Linked DNA regions of Daphnia pulex. The protein of the gene in region 1 interacts with the protein of each later gene in a biochemical or structural test. Links are inferred from orthologs where the notes say so. Each region holds a gene or a part of one and is shown in the gene's direction. Other genes may lie near its edges.

What was found. The genes of interacting proteins can lie anywhere in the genome.
Region 2: the proteins of cullin-3-A-like (region 1) and DCN1-like protein 3 form a complex in vitro, tested with the Homo sapiens proteins (3 studies listed by BioGRID, with this or other methods). The link is inferred for Daphnia pulex from reciprocal best matches to the Homo sapiens genes CUL3 and DCUN1D3.
Region 3: the proteins of cullin-3-A-like (region 1) and NEDD8-conjugating enzyme Ubc12 form a complex in vitro, tested with the Homo sapiens proteins (2 studies listed by BioGRID, with this or other methods). The link is inferred for Daphnia pulex from reciprocal best matches to the Homo sapiens genes CUL3 and UBE2M.
Region 4: of the proteins of cullin-3-A-like (region 1) and COP9 signalosome complex subunit 5-like, one has a biochemical effect on the other in vitro, tested with the Homo sapiens proteins (2 studies listed by BioGRID). The link is inferred for Daphnia pulex from reciprocal best matches to the Homo sapiens genes CUL3 and COPS5.

What each region holds. Positions count from the first base shown.
Region 1 is NC_060026.1:11,981,844-11,985,855, reverse strand, and holds the start of cullin-3-A-like, read left to right. Parts: upstream 1-1,212; 5' UTR 1,213-1,390; coding exon 1,391-1,456; intron 1,457-1,530; coding exon 1,531-1,728; intron 1,729-1,795; coding exon 1,796-1,981; intron 1,982-2,040; coding exon 2,041-2,244; intron 2,245-2,310; coding exon 2,311-2,490; intron 2,491-2,560; coding exon 2,561-2,755; intron 2,756-2,832; coding exon 2,833-3,180; intron 3,181-3,238; coding exon 3,239-3,346; intron 3,347-3,411; coding exon 3,412-3,653; intron 3,654-3,724; coding exon 3,725-3,851; intron 3,852-3,908; coding exon 3,909-4,012. UniProt on the Homo sapiens protein: Core component of multiple cullin-RING-based BCR (BTB-CUL3-RBX1) E3 ubiquitin-protein ligase complexes which mediate the ubiquitination and subsequent proteasomal degradation of target proteins.
Region 2 is NC_060026.1:10,627,986-10,631,706, reverse strand, and holds DCN1-like protein 3, read left to right. Parts: upstream 1-1,298; 5' UTR 1,299-1,340; coding exon 1,341-1,440; intron 1,441-1,505; coding exon 1,506-1,676; intron 1,677-1,740; coding exon 1,741-2,027; intron 2,028-2,089; coding exon 2,090-2,361; intron 2,362-2,421; coding exon 2,422-2,584; 3' UTR 2,585-3,221; downstream 3,222-3,721. Other genes in the region: nucleolar complex protein 2 homolog, read right to left, coding at 584-752, 833-940, 1,014-1,037; uncharacterized protein LOC124205018, read left to right, coding at 3,632-3,657, 3,718-3,721. UniProt on the Homo sapiens protein: Contributes to the neddylation of all cullins by transferring NEDD8 from N-terminally acetylated NEDD8-conjugating E2s enzyme to different cullin C-terminal domain-RBX complexes and may play a role in the cell cycle progression by regulating the SCF ubiquitin E3 ligase complex, after UV damage.
Region 3 is NC_060024.1:11,931,767-11,934,612, reverse strand, and holds NEDD8-conjugating enzyme Ubc12, read left to right. Parts: upstream 1-1,169; 5' UTR 1,170-1,344; coding exon 1,345-1,447; intron 1,448-1,524; coding exon 1,525-1,619; intron 1,620-1,689; coding exon 1,690-1,896; intron 1,897-2,009; coding exon 2,010-2,123; intron 2,124-2,195; coding exon 2,196-2,222; 3' UTR 2,223-2,346; downstream 2,347-2,846. Other genes in the region: ran GTPase-activating protein 1-like, read right to left, coding at 25-159, 213-392, 452-639, 708-822; importin-7-like, read right to left, coding at 2,785-2,846.
Region 4 is NC_060026.1:5,023,679-5,026,812, reverse strand, and holds COP9 signalosome complex subunit 5-like, read left to right. Parts: upstream 1-1,238; 5' UTR 1,239-1,306; coding exon 1,307-1,446; intron 1,447-1,506; coding exon 1,507-1,741; intron 1,742-1,799; coding exon 1,800-1,994; intron 1,995-2,054; coding exon 2,055-2,252; intron 2,253-2,316; coding exon 2,317-2,574; 3' UTR 2,575-2,634; downstream 2,635-3,134. Other genes in the region: transmembrane protein 65-like, read right to left, coding at 2,970-3,134. UniProt on the Homo sapiens protein: Probable protease subunit of the COP9 signalosome complex (CSN), a complex involved in various cellular and developmental processes.

The sequences.
Region 1 (4,012 bases):
GGTGTGCAAACTCCCTCAGTTTGGGAGTGGACTCAGCAGAACAAATTTTATGCGTGCTTGATGACTTTCTTTCTATGCAATGCTGTTGAGGGCCAATTAATTTCAACTGGAGCATTTGAAATCACATTAAATGGTGAGATTTCATTGAATTCATTACTTCCCTATTAACTTACCTACTTATCATTATTTTTGTTACAGATGTTCCACTTTGGTCTAAAATGGAAACTGGTAGAGTTCCTCAACCCCCTGAACTTTTTCAGATGATTGATAACCATCTGAATATGGCTAGCCCCCAACTAAGCTTGGATTCATAATGTGTGCTGTGTGGTGTGGTGTTAATTGTTACATCTTGTTTGAGTCTTTAGCCTTTGTAGATATGATGATTCCTTTAAAAAGTAGTGGAAACTACTGGAAGCGATCGGATGTTTACCTACACAAGTGCTTTGTATAAGAACATGAATGACAATCTAACACTTTTTCCCCCATCCTCCATTCTTCATTCCATTTTAGTAAATAAAAACCTCTAGTCTATGGATATTCTTGGTTTTAAAACAACAGTAAACTGGCTAAAGTTAAACAAAGCTCCTGATTATAGCTTTCCTTATATAATAGTTTATTCAGAATATAAATAAGTCTTTGGACGTTGTCGTGGTGGCTAAGCATAAATCCTTCTTAATTTATTTGCGATATTGGGTTTCAATGAAACGAAGCTGAGAGAATTTGAATCCGAGATTACAACGAATTATGTAAGTCCTTCCTAAGTCCTTTCTTTTTTAATAAGAGATAAGAGCTAAGATTTCCCTAAGAATACGACAATGCGCACGGCGCTGTGGCAGGCACAGATATGCATAAATACATTTATATTAGTAAAATTAGCAAGGAGCATGCTACTGTCTGACTCAAAGCGCATAATTCATTACGAGTTCTCCAGTGAATGTGACTTTTTACTTTTAGTGCCTTTTTTTTAAATATTCAACACAATTTTCTGCCAACCCTTAACCCTAGCTATTATTATGAGCATTTTTTGAACGGAAATGAAACAAACGAATAATTTTTTTATCAATGATATTTAATAAAGTCTTTTTCTTGCGAGTGGCCAATGTCGATGCGTATTTTAAAAAGAATAAAAAATGCGTGGAGGTGATTTCCATTTTTCATTGTCCTTCAGATGGATGTGTTTCAATTTAGCCGCTAGATGGCAAAATACAACGTTGAGTTTTCTGAGGAAGAGAAGGAAAGAGAGGTTAGCCTTTAGGTTGCCCTGTTTTTTTTGCTTACAAGGGGGGCCAACTAGTTTGATGGAAACGTTTTAAAGGTTTCGGAACTATCAATATTTGGCCGATACTTGTATTTTTTTCGTTTCGTTATTTAAATTTGAGTGAGTTTCACGATGATGAAAGGTGGTCTCGGCGGCGGTTCAAAGAAAGAAGGAAAAATGCGAATTCGTGCATTCCCTGTAAAGTTTATTATAACACTTCATTCTGGCATTAGAATATCTTTGTTATTGTTTTCTTGTTTTTCTCAATAAAGATGACGATGGACGAGAGGTATGTGGAAAATATTTGGAGTTTACTGAAGAATGCCATTCAAGAAATTCAGAAGAAGAATAACTCTGGTCTTAGTTTTGAAGAACTTTACCGAAATGCATACACAATGGTTCTACACAAACATGGAGAGAGATTGTACAATGGCCTTAGAGAAGTTGTTACTCATCATTTAGAATCTAAAGTAATATCTTTCTTGCTCAAAAAATTTTCAATTTTACTAAAGATTTTGCCTGATCACTTTCACATAGGTTCGTCAAGATGTGCTTTCTTCCTTGAACAACAATTTCCTTCACATTCTAAATCAAGCATGGAGTGATCATCAAACATCTATGGTTATGATTCGTGACATCCTCATGTACATGGACAGAGTTTATGTTCAACAAAATAATGTTGATAATGTTTACAATCTTGGATTGATTATTTTTCGTGATCAAGTAAGTGCCTAATTCAATAGTTTATTGTTGGATTTGATTTTAATTGAACTTTCTATAAGGTTGTTCGTTATGGAGGCATTCGTGACCACCTAAGGCATATTCTTTTGGAAATGGTTGTCAGAGAGCGTAAAGGAGAAGTTGCAGATAAGCTTTCTGTTAGAGCAGCTTGTCAAATGCTCATGGTGCTGGGTATAGACAGTCGAGCTGTCTATGAAGAGGATTTTGAAAGACCTTTTCTTTCTCAATCTGCAGAATTCTACAGGGTACAAAAACTTGGTTGTTAATTTTTCTACAATTTATTTAATTATTTTTTTACTTTGCTTTCACAGTCTGAGAGTCAGCGGTTTTTAGGGGAGAATTCAGCTTCAGTTTACATAAAGAAAGTCGAGGCGCGCATTAATGAAGAATCGGAAAGAGCCAAACATTATTTGGATGAGTCGACCGAGCAGCGTATTGTTGCAGTAGTTGAAGAGGAACTTATACAGAAACACATGAAAACGATTGTTGAGGTGTGTAAAACTTAGATTAGTGTGTTTTAAAAAATGCTATACAGAAAAATAATTCTTGTTTTCACACTAGATGGAAAATTCTGGTGTAGTACACATGTTAAAATGCCAGAAAACTGACGACTTACACTGTATGTACAAGTTGTTGGGTCGTGTAGCGGATGGTTTGCGAACCATGGCTAGTTGTGTCAGCGCGCATTTACGAGAAGAAGGCAAAGCACTGGTTAATGTCGACGAATCCGGTGCCAATGCATTGAATTTTGTCCAGGTATTTTTATTAAAATTTACCTTTTTTTCTCTCTGTAATAATGATTTCTTTCATTTTGATTTCTAATGACACTATAGAGTCTATTAGATCTTAAGGATCGCTATGATACATTTCTGGGAAAATCCTTCGTAAACGATCCAATCTTTAAGAAAATGATCTCTTCAGATTTTGAATATTTTCTTAATTTGAATTTGAAATCTCCCGAATATCTATCACTCTTTATCGATGACAAGCTCAAGAAGGGCGTTAAAGGAATGACAGAGCAGGACATAGAACTGGTGCTCGACAAAACCATGGTTTTGTTCCGTTTTCTCCAGGAAAAGGATATTTTCGAGCGTTATTATAAACAACATTTGGCCAAGCGCCTGCTGCTGAACAAATCTGTTAGCGATGATAGCGAGAAGAACATGATTTCTAAGCTGAAGGTAATTTATTCATTTCCAATTTATTGAGCTCGTACTAACATTTTAATTACTTTGTTAGACTGAATGTGGGTGTCAATTTACCTCGAAATTAGAGGGCATGTTCAAGGATATGTCTATCTCCAACATGCTCATGGAAGACTTCAAAAATCACATTCAAACTTCTGGGGTAAGAAATATCCAGTAAAAAAATGCAATTATAAAACGGCCTTCCAACCATCGATTATTGATTAGACCTCCCTTTACGGAGTGGACTTGAGTGTTCGCGTACTAACAACTGGATTCTGGCCAACACAATCGTCAGCTACTTGTACACTACCATTGGCACCACGCAACGCTTTTGAGGTCTTTCGCCGATTTTATTTAGCAAAGCACAGTGGGCGACAGTTGACGCTACAACCCGCTCTAGGGTCGGCTGATCTGAGCGCAATCTTTTATGGACCTAGACGAGAGGAGTCTGAGACAAAAGAAAAAACGTAAGAACATTTATATGTTGTCTCTATATACTGAGCATATCTTATCGAATGTTTCGATTGATTCCATGAAGTGATGGCCCCAGCTCGTCAACACCCTCGTCATCAGCTAATGGACCGCGAAAACACATAATCTCCGTTTCAACCTATCAGATGTGTATTCTTATGCTGTTTAACACCCGAGATAGGCTAACTTACGAAGTAAGAGCACGTAGAACTTAATGATTTCTTATTCATCATATTTGATGCTGTTTATAGGATATCATGAATGAAACTGACGTTCCGAAAAAAGATCTGGATCGTGCATTGCAATCGCTTGCGATGGGCAAACCGACTCAACGCGTTCTTGTCAAAAGTCCCAA
Region 2 (3,721 bases), about 1.4 Mb from region 1:
AGTAACACCGCTTTTAACTTACGCTAACGATGGACAACACGTGTCGCAGCCGTGTCTAAGAGCAGACGACTTAAAATGCTAGACTGTCATTTGTTTTTTTGGAAGAAAACAGTTTCGGGCAATTTCATTGGTTTACTGAAAAGCCGTCTGGATTGGACTAAAAAGTTTCAAATTTTTCCGTGTAAATCAAATATAGGTCTAAATTCTTAATTGTTTTGTTATTATAAATTTTTAATTCTAGACGTTTTAAACTATGAACAGTCGTTGTTCTATTTATCTTTTAAAATCTCATTCCATATTTAACTCTAACATTCCTTTTCTAAAAAAAAAGTAGTATCATATCATCATATTATCATAGTTTTAACCCAATTATTGTATGAAGTTTTTAACACAATTAACATATTTTATTTATGCAAGGCATATGTCATTAAAGAGCCTAAATGCATCATAACTGTAAACACAGTTAGGGAATTCTTAAATGATAGTGACACATGTGGTCTAATTAGATAATCAGAAAGCAATGTATTCAGCCTTTGACATTTCAAAACAATGAAAGAATTTGAGTTAATTTGTCAAACTGAACCCCTCATTGGAGGGGAGACCAGAATCACACCATCTCCACGTACAAAGAGCATGGGAATGTTGCGTTTAGTTGTTCTGTAAACTTCTTCATAAGTTTCTTCATCAATTTCAACAGTGGTTACTGTTTCTTCTACCTCACCTAGCACCATGTTCAAATGTTGATCATATGCCTATGGACCATAAACAATAATACAATATATTTTGGGAACACAATTTTATAGCAAAAAGCAATTTAATGTGCTCGACTTACATGTAGCCGGCCTCTCAACTCTCGTTCATTTCGCATTTTGACGTAAATTCTTTCATCGAGACTTAGGCGAATCAAATCAAGTGGCTCTTCCACAGTAATTACAGGGGCCTAAATGAAAGTGGCAATATGAAAGCTTGAATTATTAATTTAAAATTTAAAAAATGTGGAGTTGTATACATACTGAAGTTTCGTTTTCGTCCGCCATTTTGAATCTAGTGTAAAGTGTATTTTTCGGACGCAAGGAGGCTTTGTGATGCCTGTGTGCTTCGGACTAAACGTCACCCCCTCCCCCCACAAGTGTTTTGTGTGCCAGGGTTTTCCTTTCATTTTCTACATGATTCTCCTTTATATATTGGGTAGCTTTATATCTTACGAGATTTTCACGTAAAACGAGATCAGGGCTCAATGGTGATGTGCTAGTTACGATTTAAAAAGAAAAAGTGAATCGAAGGGAAGGGATTGAAGTTGTGAGGCTATAGCGCGCGATTCGGGTTTGTGAAATCCATCCATGGGGAATTGCTGCTCCTGTGTTAAAAGTGAGGCGAATACCAGATCATCCGTTGCTCCTGGAAATTATTCTCTTTCATCAAGTAAACTAGAAGACTCTGGTTAGTTGAAAATTTAATTTATAATGTACCTTTGTGTAACCCAATCCTTTTTCATGGTCACACAGATACATACCGTCCTTCACAATCGGAAGAGCTAGAGGACTCTAACCTGGTCATCAGCTCTGAAACATATGTGAATGGAAGTGGGTTGGACGCTAGAGACTCTAAAGGGGAGATGCGTAGGCCCTTTTATGTGCTCATTCCACCACTGGTTGGAAGAGGGAGTAATAGCTCAGGTGAATAAACATTTCTTTGTTATGAAGCCACCCATACACTTACTAAATTTTACATCTCAAACAGGTGATATTAAGAAGACAAACAACAATACCATCAATGGTGCATTAAGCACTGGTGGAATGGGGAATGGAACTAGTGCAGTGGAAGTGTCAGAAAACAATTTAGTGGCCTTCTATGAAAGCTACTGTGGAAATACTGAAGACAGGATTGAAGATGCCATAACCACTGATGGAATACTTCATCTGTGTGCTGATTTGGATTTAGCGGCTGACGACTTTCGTATTCTTTTATTTGCATGGAAGTGCGATGCAGCTCAAATGGGCAAGCTCAGCAAGAATGAATTCTTACAAGTAACAACACTAACAAATAATTTATTTAAAAAATTGAAATTAATGTGTAATCATTTATCCAGGGATGTCGACTATTAGGAACAGATTCGCCTCGTAGTCTCAAGTTCAGCTTAGAACAATTAGTAAAAGAAGTAGAGGACAGCGAAGTTTTCAGTGACGTTTACCGCTATGCGTTTCGCTTCGCTCTGGATGTAGAGTGTGGTCAACGCTCTTTGCCTGTTGATGTAGCCGTTTCACTTTGGCGGCTTGTATTTACTCATCGACCCGTCCCTCTCCTTGATCGTTGGATCGAATTTCTTGAACAGTCTCCTCCACCTGTTCGAGCTATACCCAGGTACAAATCACCAACAGTTGGGCATTTCAATGCAATTTAAATTTAAATTCTCTTCTTCAGGGATACATGGTGCATGTTTCTACACTTAGTGGACGCTGTGGGAAATGATCTTTCCCGCTACGACGACACAGAAGCTTGGCCTAGCCTTTTTGACGATTTCGTTGAATGGGCCAATGATCGAGCCAACCAAAATGTGCTGCACGCCAAGGAAGAACTACACTGATGGTGATCAACCCTCAGCTTCTTCCCGTATTCGTTTCGCTTTGCTGTATTAAGTTTTTCTCTCTTCTCACCTTGAATCGTTTCAGATGAGTGTATTAACTATGTGGTTTTTTAAGACATGATAATTGCTGATGGATGAGTGAGTTATTGAATTCGTATTTGTATCGGTTAGTTTACTTTGAATCTTCGTCCACCTTGACTCTCATTTATACTATGAAAACAATATCTGCTGTGATTCCTTGACGACTTTCGCCGTACAGAGTACTGACCTGCCAATGTCCCTCTTTTTTAAACGGCCCCTCTTGTTCACGTCTTTGAAATATCGTGTCTTTCTCAAACCACCTTTATTTTCTCCAATTGTTTATACTGTAGTTTGAGAAGAACTGTCTTTGATTGGTAACAATTTGATTGACCATGATTGCCACTCTAAAGAGTAGGTATATATTGGTATTTCTGTATACCCACCCTTTTTTCCCGAATGTAACGTACCGTAAGCCTGTTTGTGTGTTTATGTAAAATCGGTATTTTTCCTGTGACTGTTGATTGCTTTCTACTTGTTTATGTGCTATTCTTAGACCACTGTGGATGAAGACATCAATACAGATGTGAATGTAAGCCTTTGGCTTATACAGATGAAATTGTTTGTTCTTAGTTTGAAAACTTTGTAGTTAGTGAAGTGGCATCCTTATATAAATCCTCAACCAACCCAACATACATATATATTTAGTTTATAATTATTTTTATGTTGTTGTTTGTTAAAAAAAAGGAAACCGCAAACCAGCCGCAAACTAGAACTCAATAAACCAGATTTTAGAAAATTATAACCCTGTTCAGGCAGGCCTGTATCCCATGCCCATCCTCCGTTTCCCGTTTATTCTCCCTCCGACCCTCCCCCTTCTGAATCTGACCGCCAGGCGGCTCCTAAGTGATAGCAGACTACACTTGAAGACTAACCGAAAGAGAGAGAGTGATTTTCGCCGCTATTTCAAACAAGGCGTAATCTTTGTTTGGAATTTGATTGAAGGTCTTACTTTTCAATGTGCTTAAAATGGAAGTTGCAAAGCCAAATACCAGGTACTACTTGATAACTCATGGAATAAATGTATGCTGACTTATTTTTATATCTCTTTGAAGAACT
Region 3 (2,846 bases), on another chromosome or scaffold:
ACTGAAAATAAAAAAAACAGTGACCTTGAAAAATTCTGACAGAGCAATCGCTCCTTCATTTTCAAGTCGATTTCTTCCAACAATGAAGGTTTTCAGACTCAATGGAGAACCAGCCTCTTTACTGGCTTTAAGACAGTCATTTAAAGCTTGGGCAAGCATCTAAAGTAAAAGGTAGCAGTATTATGATTACAAATAAATGGAATTTTAGTTACCCGTCCACCATAAATTCCAAGGCCATTGTTGTTTAATCTTATACATTTTAGAGAATAGCAGACAGGGCTTTTCAAAAACTGAACAAGACCTTCCATACCAACTGGACCTAATGCATTATCACTCAAATCTAACTCAATTAAGTTAGCTTTAGCCAAAATGAGTCCTCCTCCTAAGAAACTCTATTTAAATAAACGGTGGTTAATACTGTTAATCGTCACATGCACCACAATCAAATTACCAAAGCTTTTGGAATTTCATCTTTCAACCGGCCAGTAAAAGCATCTTTCCACAGTGCTCTCTGGAAGGTTGGTTTGGATTCTAATGCTTTGGCAATAGCCTTGGCGGCTTCAACACCAAGAGTGTTTCCTTCAAGGATGAGACCTGTCAAACCTTTTGCAGCCTGAATTGCATTAACAATAGGTTGGGCTGTTGAAAAATTCCAATAAAAAGAACTTTAATCCCATTTATAAAGCAAACATAAAATCAGAACAAACCGTCGGCTTCCGTATCTAACTTGAGTCCTTTCCCGCTAAAATCTACTATTTCTTCTTTCGCATTCAAATTATTGGCTTCAGAGTCTCCATTAAACTTAGTCACTGCCCCATTCATTTCTTCGAAGTTGTTGGATGATTTTTATCAGGTTCAACCAAGATGACACTCTAAAGTGTAAGTGTAGTATTATTTTCTATTGAGACAAAAATTCACGTGTCTAATTTGAACGCTAACAGTCGGTTTATCGACTCCCTCGTACCCTCGAATTCCCAAGCAGAAATTTCTCTTTGTGCAGCGTTTTCACATTTCAAAAATAGGGTAGGCCTATTGACTTTAGAAAAATGAATTGTTAATTACTATTCATAACTAAATTTACACCTAACAGTATTTAATATTATTTTTAATTTAAAAAAATCAGTTGTATCAATTGGATTTCTGGCAGCATAAAAAAATTTATATGGAATTGTTTTTGACGTTTCTCCAACAGTCTGCTGTTTAGTCCTCTCAATCAGCAAAAATTTCCCATCTGTTCTGTATTGGGCCAAATAAAATCTAGACTGGTTCCTCTGTAAATATAAGAAGGAAACCCCTGTTAAGTTTTCCCAAATTTGTAGATCTCGTATTTGTGGAGCCGACATCATGATTAAGCTTTTTTCTCTTAAACAACAAAAGAAAGATGAAGTTCCAGGTCGGGCAGGAAATCAAAAGAAAGCATCCGCTGCCCAGCTGCGTATCACCAAAGGTCTATTGACTAAAAACAAGTTCTGACCTTGTGACCCGTGTTCCATTTATTTTAATATTTGTTATAATGTCTCGTAGATATTAATGAGTTAAATCTACCCAAGACTTGTCAAATGGAATTTCCTGACCAAGATGACTTGCTGAACTTCAAATTAATCATTTCTCCAGATGAGGTATTACGTATTATGAAATGCAAAATATTTATTTGATTTATAAAACTTTTTTATAATTATTCTGTTACAGGGTTTTTACAGAGGAGGGAAATTTTCTTTTAGTTTCAAAGTTGGTCCTGGTTATCCTCATGAACCACCCAAAGTGAAGTGTGAGACACAGGTGTATCACCCGAACATTGACCTTGAAGGTAATGTGTGTCTTAACATTCTACGAGAAGACTGGAAGCCAGTATTAACAATCAACTCCATAATTTATGGTCTGCAGTACCTTTTCCTGGTGAGCTCTTTTTCTCAGTTCATTGAAATCCATCTTGTTATTAGTAGTCCTAAATTCCCTAGAATTGATGTATGTTGGTTATTTTATTTCACTGTTCTTGTGTGATTTTCAAGGAACCCAATCCAGAAGATCCATTGAATAAAGAAGCTGCAGAAGTACTTCAAACAAACCGGCGATTATTCGAAACAAACGTCCAAAAATCCATGCGAGGGGGATATGTTGGTTCGGTAAGCTAAATTACTTTGAAATCATATTTAAAAATAACACAATCTTGTTTTGAACCTAATTGGGGAAAACAGGTTTATTTCGAACGATGCTTGAAATAACATCCGAATCAGATACAACAAAAAACGAATGGCTCTTTTCAACTTTGATTTCAAACGATTTTTAACATGGAAATTTTCATGTGCAGAAAAAATAAACATCCGCGTGTTTTGCGTTCCATCATTAGTTTTTTATTAAGTTTCATCATTCAGCTGTAATTTTTTCTTGAATATCCATCACCGTTCTTTACTCGATATACGGAACGATACACGGTTCAAGCAGAAGGAGGAAGGGAATGGATGACTAGGCTTTGCTACTGATGAGAATAGAAAGTATCGAACTATTCAGTGTTCCTACTTCCTACAAAGAGCGCATTATCAGCAGTTAGATTAACCTTCCCAAGCAAAGCCTAAATGCACAACACAAAAATTCCCCTCCAAAAAAAAGGCAACCAAAAAAACAAAACAAATGGGCAATTTAACCTAATCAGACAGATTCAATAAGAAAACCAGGCATTGATGAAAAAAGGTCAAAGCACAGCTATCAATAAATGTGATAGTGACGGATGTTATCAAATAGAACCATATTGATAAGGAATTATACGATAACGTTAGTAAGAAACATTCATCTGCTAAATGGTGAAGTAGACCCATTTCCTCCGAAATTAAAAGAATCGGGAACCGTTT
Region 4 (3,134 bases), about 7.0 Mb from region 1:
CTTTTTGATCTTTGAGAGGGAGACGGTCTTGTTCCGTTTTTGATTCCAAGTTGATCAAGTCCTTTAATTCATAAATACTTTCCATATCCTTCAAAATTGAACTTTGCACCTGTCAAGTAGGATAATAAAGCATTGATATAGGGTGAAAAAAGTATTAAGAAAAATAAAAATAAACCTTATTTTCAGTAAACAGCTGATTACTACACCATGAGTACCAGTAGTTTTTTGAAACTGCAGTTGCAAGGGTTGGCAAATGGCCCTCTTTCACACAGACTTCCACATCAAAGACATATGCATCCTCTTCTGGAAAATGAACTAGATCCATCTCTCCATTTTGGTTGTATCTTGTCCATCCAGGTGCAAAGTTCCAGACTTGAGGGATGTCTGGAATGCAATGTGATGTCAAATCTAACAATTTATTACGGTAACTTCCACATTGTTTTTCAGCAATTTTTTCAAAGTGTTCTGCTATGTTTTTTCCTAATAAAGTTGGGAGCTTCAAATCAATATCTGGGAGTTTACTTGGTGATTTGCCATAAAGATGGTGAATTGATAAATGCTGCTGAATTTTTAACAGCGTTTCTTTAGATACAGAATTGTTGTTTTCTTTTTCGAATATCTGTCGATGGATAGATCTTGATAACATTTGTATACCACACGGATTAATAGTAACACATTTGTTTGAAATAGATACTTCTTCTTTGCATTGGCTTTTTGTTGAAAAATGTATTCTATAATTATGAAGAATATTTAAACTAGATAATGAATATTTCCAAGGTATTTTCCTACGGTTATGTTTAATTTGCCACACTCGAAACGAAAGCATGTTTGGAAACAAGTTTGAATTTGTTTATCGGGCATCGGCAACTCCACGGTAAGAAATAGTAAAACGTGGGAAAAAGAGTAGATAGGGATTTAGTGGTGAGGCAATGGACAATGGACTAATGGAGTAGGAGAAGTCAGAAGTACTGAAGTAGCAGTCGTAGCAGACTAGGCAATCGCAGTCGTCCAATCCATCCCTGAGGCTGAAATCCTACGTTTTACTTTGTTCCTACCACCGCCGCGACCCGCATTTTACCTCTTCATTCTCCCAGCAGCTCCCAGTATGCCAAAGGCAAAACAAGACCCGTAGGTCGTAGTCTCGTAGACGACATCAACAGTCGATGAGATTTAGTTTCCGGCTGTACGTTTGGATTTGATATATTCAGCACTGGTATACCTCGTTCGAATTTCCCCATTTGGACTTTAGAGTGTCTTTTGCAAAAAGAGGTTTCAAGTAAAATTGGTTGTGTGTTCCACATCCAAGATGAGTTCACAATCTAACATAGCCCTGAATAATTGGCTCATGGCTAATAATGTGGAAAATATTAGTTCAGTTGACGAAATTTATCGATATGATAGAAAGCAACAGCAAGACATGTTGGCTGCTAAACCATGGGATAAAGAGTAATATTATTTTTTATTTTGTATCAAGTCATGTTAACAACTTTACGTTTTATGTTCTAGCCCTCATTTCTTCAAAGAGATCCGTATATCAGCCTTGGCATTGTTGAAAATGGTTACTCATGCTCGGTCTGGAGGACATCTAGAAGTGATGGGATTGCTTTTGGGCAAAGTAGATGCAAACACAATGGTGGTAATGGATGCATTTGCCCTGCCAGTTGAAGGCACAGAAACCAGAGTAAATGCTCAGTCACAGGCTTATGAATACATGACTGCTTACATAGAATCAGCTAAACAGGCAAGTACATTTGCTCTTGATCACATTTTTAAGTAACTAATTGGAATATGAGTATTAGGTTAATCGTCTTGAAAATGCCATTGGATGGTACCATTCACACCCTGGATATGGATGCTGGCTATCAGGAATTGATGTTTCTACCCAGATGCTTAACCAAAATTTCCAGGAACCCTTTGTTGCTATTGTTGTAGATCCTGTTCGTACTATTTCAGCTGGCAAGGTGTGTCTTGGTGCCTTCCGTACATACCCTAAGGTGAACAGATATATTTTTCTATCAAGCGTACAGAGTAGTTTACTTTTTATTTTTCCTTAGGGTTACAAACCCCCAAATGAAGAGCCAAGTGAGTATCAAACCATCCCACTCAATAAGGTTGAAGATTTTGGTGTCCACTGCAAGCAGTACTATGCCCTTGAGGTTTCTTACTTTAAATCAGCTCTGGATCGCCGTCTATTAGACTCATTATGGAATAAGTACTGGGTCAGCACATTGAGTTCTTCATCTCTCACCACAGTAAGAACAAATATTCAAAGCGTTATATCATGTTATAAAAAGTATTAATATCTCTTTTTATTAGAATGCTGATTATACAACAGGTCAAGTATCGGACCTTTCGGAAAAACTTGAGCAAGCTGAAAACTCTCTAGGACGGGCGGCTCTAGTCGGAAGCGGCGTTGGTGTGAGTGGCTCCAGCATTGAGGATAGAAGATCGGAAGATAGGCTAGCTAAAGCAGCTCGTGATGCTACAAAAACTTCCATTGAAGCTCTTCATGGTTTGCTGGCTCAAGTAATTAAAGATCGTCTGTTCAACCAAGTGCGTTCAAGGCCTGCGTGAACCATCTCGTTTTTCTAAATATCCTCTGAGAATCCTTAATAATAAACTGGCTTATGCATACCATTTTGTTTGTGTTTTCTGTGAATGAGTTACCAAGTGTTAGAATATATTGTATTGAACATGTAAAATTCTTTGGCTATATCTCTAATAATGGGGTCAAGATTGAACAGCAATTGTGGGCAATATAAATAATTGTTATGTGAAGAATCTCCACGTTAGTTCATCGGAATGCTCAAAAATGTGCAAAACAATAAGAATCGAACATTAAAGTTGCCAAGTCGCAGTAGGATCCATTGCCATTGCGCGGCAAAATGTCATTTTTATGAGTTTAAATAATTATTTTAGGTTCACGTATTTGTAAGGTTATAAGACTAATAATATATCGGACATGCCAATCACAAATGAGATGAAGGGTCCTTTGAATGCCGTTTGCTGTCAGATGTAGGTAAAAATAAAAGTGGTACCATTCCAAGCACACATCCTATAGCAACACCAATAGCACGTCCGATATTAATGGCCCAAGTAGTTGATCGAAAAGCATATTGCCGAGGCTCGAGATC